Linked DNA regions of Oryctolagus cuniculus. The protein of the gene in region 1 interacts with the protein of each later gene in a pairwise test. Links are inferred from orthologs where the notes say so. Each region holds a gene or a part of one and is shown in the gene's direction. Other genes may lie near its edges.

The links.
Region 2: the proteins of CPT1B (region 1) and TEX44 interact in binary tests that used the Homo sapiens proteins (3 or more experiments, as listed by UniProt). The two-hybrid records come from large-scale screens. The link is inferred for Oryctolagus cuniculus from reciprocal best matches to the Homo sapiens genes CPT1B and TEX44.

Annotation. Positions count from the first base shown.
Region 1 is NC_091442.1:123,496,434-123,500,237, reverse strand, and holds part of CPT1B (carnitine O-palmitoyltransferase 1, muscle isoform), read left to right. Parts: intron 1-1,143; coding exon 1,144-1,339; intron 1,340-1,613; coding exon 1,614-1,799; intron 1,800-2,000; coding exon 2,001-2,106; intron 2,107-2,185; coding exon 2,186-2,302; intron 2,303-2,685; coding exon 2,686-2,850; intron 2,851-2,927; coding exon 2,928-3,062; intron 3,063-3,148; coding exon 3,149-3,301; intron 3,302-3,760; coding exon 3,761-3,804. UniProt on the Homo sapiens protein: Catalyzes the transfer of the acyl group of long-chain fatty acid-CoA conjugates onto carnitine, an essential step for the mitochondrial uptake of long-chain fatty acids and their subsequent beta-oxidation in the mitochondrion.
Region 2 is NC_091434.1:7,713,281-7,716,955, reverse strand, and holds TEX44 (testis-expressed protein 44), read left to right. Parts: upstream 1-1,512; 5' UTR 1,513-1,608; coding exon 1,609-2,733; 3' UTR 2,734-2,890; downstream 2,891-3,675.

The DNA of each region.
Region 1 (3,804 bases):
CCATCTGGTTTACTCCCCAAATGACTGCAACGGCCAGGGCTGGGCCAGACCAAAGCCAGGAGCCCGGAACTCCATCCACGTCTCCCACATGGGGGACGGGGCCCAAGCACCAGTGCCATCATCCTCTGCCTTCCCAGGAAGCCCAGCACTCGTGAGATGCCAGCACCGTGGGCAGCAACCTAACCCACTGCACCGCGATGCTGACCCTTTTCCAGGGGCCACGATGGCCTCTCCTTTCTTTCTTTCTTTTTTTTTTTTTTTTTTTTTTTTTTTTTTTTTGACAGGCAGAGTGGACAGTGAGAGAGAGAGACAGAGAGAAAGGTCTTCCTTTGCCGTTGGTTCACCCTCCAATGGCCGCCGCTGCAGCCGGCGCACCGCGCTGATCCGATGGCAGGAGCCAGGATCCAGGTGCTTTTCCTGGTCTCCCATGGGGTGCAGGGCCCAAGCACCTGGGCCATCCTCCACTGCACTCCCTGGCCATAGCAGAGAGCTGGCCTGGAAGAGGGGCAACCGGGACAGAATCCGGCGCCCCAACCGGGACTAGAACCCGGTGTGCCGGCGCCGCAAGGTGGAGGATTAGCCTATTGAGCCATGGCGCCGGCCATTTTTTTTTTTTTTTTTTTTTTTTTTTGACAGAGTTAGAGAGAGAGACAGAGAGACAGGTCTTCCTTTTCCGTTGGTTCACCCCCCCAAATGGCTGCTACGGCTGGCGCGCTGTGCCGATCCGAATCCTGGAGCCAGGTGCTTCCTCCTGGTCTCCCAGGCGGGTGCAGGGCCCAAGGACCTGGGCCATCCTCCACTGCACTCCCAGGCCACAGCAGAGAGCTGGACTGGAAGAGGGGCAACCAGGACAGAATCCAGCACCCCAACCGGGACTAGAACCCGGGCTGCTGGTGCCGCAGGTGGAGGATTAGCCAAGTGAGCCGCGGCGCCGGCGATGGCCTCTTCTTGAGCTGCCTCCCGGGACTGTTGTGGGTGTCGCAGCAGTGGTGGTGGAAGCCCCAGCGTGGGGCCTGTCTCAGCTGTGTGGCCCCGCCCCCAAGGGAAGGAGGGCCCGGGCAGCGGCTGGGCTGGGCAGGATCAGCTGTCCAGTGAAGGGCTCCCTGTGGCCGAGCCTCAGCCTGCACCTGGTCTCTGTCTCAGATGTGCTGCAGCACCTCGCGGACAGCAGGCACGTGGCTGTCTACCACAAGGGCCGCTTCTACAAGGTGTGGCTGTATGAGGGCTCGCGCCTGCTCAAGCCCCGGGAACTGGAGATGCAGTTCCAGAGGATCCTGGATGACCCCTCCCCGCCCCAGCCTGGGGAGGAGAAGCTGGCAGCCCTCACCGCGGGTGGAAGGTACGGGGGCGGGGGCCATCAGGGAGGTGCTTGGCCCTTCCTGCGACCCCAGGCCAAGGGACCAAAGGCACAGCCAAGGGAGCAGCACTGGGGGTACCAGCACTGGCACAGCGGGTGGATCCCATCTCAAGGGGCTGGCAACCAGGTACGAGCACGCAGAGGGCGTGATCCGCTGCCCCCACCAGACCCTGCTTTCAGGCCCAGCCAGGTCTCGGGAGGTGCCCTCACCCAGGGCCCACGGGGCCCCGCTGTTCACCTGCCCTCTGGTCTGCAGGGTGGAGTGGGCGCAGGCACGCCAGGCCTATTTCAGCTCGGGCAAGAACAAGGCCTCTCTGGACGCCATTGAGCGCGCTGCCTTCTTCGTGGCCCTGGATGAGGAGGCCCACTGCTACAACCCCGAGGACGAGGCCAGCCTCAGCCTCTACGGCAAGGCCTTGCTGCATGGCAACTGCTACAACAGGTGCGTGCCACAGCCCACGGGCCAGGGGTCTGCTTGAGGTTCTGGTCAGGATGAGGCACAGGTTAGGGTCGGGCTCGTGCTAGGGATAGGCTTCAGGTCAGGGTGAGGGTCCGGGGCTAGAAATAGCGAGTTTAGTGTCGCGGTTAGGCTGCTGTGGGAAGCTGCAGGACTGAGTCATCCCTGGGCCCACTCCTCCCACAGGTGGTTCGACAAGTCTTTCACTCTCATTTCCTTCAAGAATGGCCAGCTGGGTCTCAACACGGAACACGCGTGGGCTGACGCCCCCATCATCGGGCACCTCTGGGAGGTACCAGGGCTGGGAGGGGCACCTGCAGGGCAGGCTTGGTGGGGGGAGCCCAGGTTCTCAGCTTGACTTCTCCCTGCAGTTTGTCGTGGGCACTGACACCTTCCACCTGGGCTATACAGAGACTGGGCACTGCCTAGGCAAACCGAACTCCACGCTGGCGCCTCCTCAGCGGCTGCAGTGGGACATTCCCGAGCAGGTGCGGGGTGGGTGGGAGAGTGACAATCATCTGAGTCACTCTGCCTCCCCCGCCCCTCCCACCACCCGGCCCAGCCCTCAGCAGGAAGGGACAGGATCCTGTGTAGCTCCAGGCTGGCCACAGGAGAGCAGAACCGTGAGCCATCTGTGGTTAGAGAAAGGTGTGAGATGTGAAGTTCACATCTGTGGGGCAGCTGTTGGTGCCACCCTCCTCCCACCAAGCTCAGCCTGGCCTCCGGTGGCCGGTACCCCTGAGTTGTCCATCCTGTCCCTCCTCCTGAAGACGTGGGCCCCTTTGGCCCTCATCCGTCAGCACGACCCCCTGCCTCCTGGCCGTGACCCAGGGTTGCACCTGGAGGGCTCTGACCCACCGTGTCTTGGCAGTGTCAGGCAGTCATCGAGCGCTCGTACCAGGTGGCCAGGGCTCTGGCGGACGATGTGGAGCTGTGCTGCTTCCAGTTCCTGCCCTTCGGGAAGGGCCTCATCAAGAAGTGTCGGACCAGCCCGGACGCCTTCGTGCAGATAGCCCTGCAGCTGGCTCACTTCCGCGTAAGAGCTCCCCCAGGCGGCGAGCGGGCAGGGTGGCGTGAGGGCGCCTACCAGATTCACCCCTCTGTGTACCCCAGGACAAGGGCAAGTTCTGCCTGACCTACGAGGCCTCGATGACCAGGATGTTCCGGGAGGGACGGACTGAGACCGTGCGTTCCTGTACCAGCGAGTCCACAGCCTTTGTGCAGGCCATGATGGAGGGGTCGCACATGGTGAGCCCCCTTTCTCCCGTCGGGGCGAGGTGCCCCTCGTCAGCCTCAGGGCCGAGGCCACTCTTGCCCTCCTCTCCTGCCTCCAGAAAGCCGACCTCCAGGATCTCTTCCGGAAAGCTGCGCAAAAGCACCAGAACATGTACCGCCTGGCCATGACGGGGGCTGGGATCGACAGGCACCTCTTCTGCCTCTACCTGGTTTCTAAGTACCTGGGGGTCAGCTCCCCGTTCCTGGCTGAGGTCCGTGAGACGGGTGCATCGGGGTGCCTCCCTGTGCCGGGGCTCGGACTGTGTCTTGTAGCTAGCTCCTGGGAAGTTGCCTGGGGGCTGGAGCCGGCTCTCCTGCCCCGCACCCCGCCTGAGCCTGCGGTGCTGGGACTGAGCGCAGTGTGGACTTGGTCTCGTGTGTGACGTGTGAGGTGCAGACAAGCGCCGGGGCGGAAAGGAGAGAGGCTGACGAGGGCGGGGGGCACAGAGCCGAGAGAGGGACCAGCAGGTCACGCAAGCCTCCTATGGCAAGAGAGGGTTCTTCCCCAAGGCTGCGGTGGGAACAGGCTGTGGAGGACCTGGGGCCTGCCCTCACGTTCACACCTGCGTCCTCAGCAGGACACTGCAGGCTTGAATAGGCCTCGGGTGCTGCTGCTGGACAGGTGTGTGCCGATGGGCAGCATCTAACCGGCCACGGCTGCCCCGCTGCAGGTGCTCTCCGAACCCTGGCGCCTCTCCACCAGCCAGATCCCTCA
Region 2 (3,675 bases), on another chromosome or scaffold:
CTGCAGGGACGCGTCACAGATGGGCAGCAGCCAGAGAGCCTGTCCTGAGATTTGCTGTCACCACAGAGGACCAAGGAGGGCTTCCAGTGGCTTGAAGCCACTAGGCTGTGTGTCTGGAGCTGTTAGCCACCCCTGTATTGAGGAAATCTTCCCGAATATCCAGCCGTCAGTGAAAAAGATGAGCAGAAAGATAGAGACAGACGGAGACGGCCAGTGAGAGAACTGACTCTTGAAGGCATGTTTGGGAACCCACAAGCAGAACCTGTCCCCTGGACCTTGCAGAGGGACAGGCTGCGTGGGGCAGCGGCTGGGAAGACAGCCTTAGCATGAAGACAGTGCCGCCGACGGCACAGAGCTGGGGCCTGGGTTAGTACAGTGGGCCTCAGAACCCCGTTAACCAGCCAGTCAGTGTACTGAAAATCCCTCCTGGGTGTGAGAGAGCACTGGAGAGCTTAATCCAGACTCAGGGCTCAATCACAGCAAGACCGAGAATTAGCTCCTTATTCCCTCAGCTTCCCCAGGTGTAACATGGGCATCGCAGGCATCGCAGGAGATCTGCAGCTCCCTGGTGCCGTTAGCTGATAAGCCTGGAGGAGCACAGACACAGAGCCCGGAACCTTCCACTGCAGCCGGCTTCTTAACAAAGGCCATCACGCAGGGAGGTGTATGCGGGCTTTTCTGAGCCACACAGATCTTTCCCGGCCTGGTTGAGCAAAAAGAATATGGAGAGGGTTGGTCCTGTGTCATAAGGGGCTGACCCCACAGCCAAAGATGTCCAGGGCTAGGAGAGGCCCAGGCCCTGGCCTCTACAGCTTCCTACTCATTGCCGTAGGGGGACACAGCCCCTGCAGAAAGAGCGGCTGAAGTGGGGTCCGGAAGCCTTGGTGTGGACAGAGAGGTGCTGGTGTGGTCCCTTTATTTTTTATTTTATTTTATTTTATTTTTTTTGACAGGCAGAGTGGACAGTGAGAGAGAGAGACAGAAAGGTCTTCCTTTTGCCATTGGTTCACCCTCCAATGGCCACCGCGGCCAGCACACCGCACTGATCCGATATCTGGAGCCAGGTACTTATCCTGGTCTCCCATGGAGTGCAGGGCCCAAGCACTTGGGCCATCCTCCACTGCACTCCCTGGCCACAGCAGAGAGCTGGCCTGGAAGAGGGGCAACCGGGACAGACTCCGGCACCCCGACCGGGACTAGAACCCGGTGTGCCGGCGCCGCTAGGCGGAGGATTAGCCTAGTGAGCCGCGGCGCCAGCCTGGTGCGGTCCCTTTAAACACGGATTCAAAGCCAGCACCTGTGTCATTTCCTCCCTCGCCAGAGCCACAGCCCCCGTGACCCCTCACGGCTGCACCTGCACCAGCATCCACACCTCCAGCTGTCCCAACACACCTGTTTCTCTCTCCACATTCCTGCAAACTCACCTGCAAAGCGCCCCGCAGACTCAGCCCTCTTGGGCAGCGGCCCAGCAGGTGCATGTCCTTGCTCTGAAGGTACCTGTGACCTCACCGGCTGCCCACAGCCTCCTGTGACCTCACCGCCTGGCCAAGTCAGCCCAGCAGAGCCATGGCCACTCCCCTGAACCACCACAGCTGGCAGAGGGCATAGATGAACACCGAGGCCCCGGGAGAGGCCCAAGCTGCCATCAACCCCCACCATGGCCCTCCCGAGGCCACCCTGGGCAGCGCGGCACACAACAGGTCTGCAGATGGCCCAGCAGCAGGGGCCCAGGGCCAAGACGCCGCCCGTGCAGATGGCTGGTCGGCCCGCAGCGCCACAGCACCCGACAGCCTGCAGGATCTAGACCAGCCCACTTCCCAGGCCACGTCACCATCTGGGGACAAAGACAAGAAGGGAGCTGCTCCAGGTGATGGACAGGAGCCTGCACAGGTCACGTCTCTGCTTCCCCAAGAGCCTGGTGCCCTGCAGGTGCCCGGGAGCCCCCAGAGTCCGGCGTGGGACCAGCTGCCTGAAGACAGGCGGGCGGCTTGGAGTCCCGCGGTCTGGACAAGTGACACCCAGGGCGAGGAAAGGACCCCGCAGACGGCGAGTGTCCTCGGGCAGCTGGAACCGGCTGCAGCCACCCCGGGAGCTAAGGCTCCTTCCGCCCCCGATGCCGACGCTCAGCCCCTGCAGGCCAACAGCCCCAAGGCCTTTGACCCGGACAGCGGGGCTCTGCTGGCCAGTGAGTCCCAGCTGGTGATGGAGGAGGACTCGACGGACAGCTCGAGGGACCTGCAGTTCCAGTCGTTCCCTCCCTCCCCGGGGGGCAGCTCCCCGCCCTCGCCGGGCCCCCGGCAGCGGGGCCTGGGCAGGCCTCTGGACTCGGACCTGTACGAGGCGGACGAGGAGAACGACTACATGCGCTCCATGAGCAGCCTGCTGGGCGGCGGCGAGGGCTCCATCAGCTCCCTGGCCGACCTCCTGGTGTGGTCCGAGTCCACCATGGGCATGGGCATGGCCGTGGGCTTCCTGGCCTCGGGCCACAGCTCCCCCACGGACCTGCTGCACAGCACGGGGCCCAGCCTGCGCTCAGTGTCCAGCATCCTGGGGAACGCCAGCTCGGCCTTCTCGTCCGGGCTGACTTCCGGCACGGGCTCGGCTCTGCGCTCCGTCACCCACGTGCTGGAGACGGTGGAGCGGCGGACGATGGAGGGCATCCGATCCGCCATGCGCTATCTCACCAGTCACCTCCCTCTGCGCCGGGCCCACGCCGGCCCCAACGGCGACTAGACTCCGCCCACTAGACCCTGCCCACGGAACCCCAAAGGACTGGCACACGGCTCTGCACCTCGGACAGCCCTGGGGCCCTGCTGCCTGGCCCGCCCCTGCCCTGGACGGCTCCCGCAACACCCAATAATAAAATCACCGGAGAGCGTTTATTTTCTAAGCGCCAGCCTCACCCGGTGTCCATGCGGTGGGCAGCAGGGCGGATGGACACGAGGGGCTCAGCTGTTCAGGAAGCAGACTGTCCCCTGGGGACTTACGCGTTGTACAAATTTAGGAGCCAGGGGCAAAGCTGCAGAATTAAGAGTGTGGCAGGGCTGGGGGGAGGGTGTTGGGGTCTCAGACCTGCAAAACCCATCCCAGCTGGACCACCACCAGGTAGGTTCCGAAAGAACCCACACCTGGGCCTGCCCCAGGCTGAGCTGGCCCAGCAGGCTGCGGTCACCTCGGTGTGGCTCTGAGAGTCAGTGGAGGGTGGAGGGTGGAGGCGCCAGGTCAGACGGGCGTGTGTCGGGACCTGCGCACCGCCACTTGCCCTATGCCGGCGCCTCACTCTCTCTCTGAGCCTCTGTTCCCCAGCGTGGAACAGACAAGCTTCCCATCCCAGCGGTGCTAGGAGCCAGAGGAGTGGCGCATGCCCCGCACGGAGTCTGGCTCTTTATGAGCACCCACACCGCAGCTGCTGTTATCACCACCCTCCAAGGACTGGAGACGGTGGGACAGTGACCCATGTGAGGGCCACCAACCAGGATGCCTTGGACTAAGGGGGTTCCTGGGATGCAGGGCTTTCAAATTGAAAACTGGGGCTGGCGTTGTGGCCTAGCTGGTTAAGTCGCCACCTGCAATACCTGGATCCCATTTAAGTGCTAGTTCGAGTCCCAGCTGCTCCTGATTCCAGCTTCCTGCTAACACGCAACCTGGGAGGCACCAGTGATGGTTCGGTGGTTG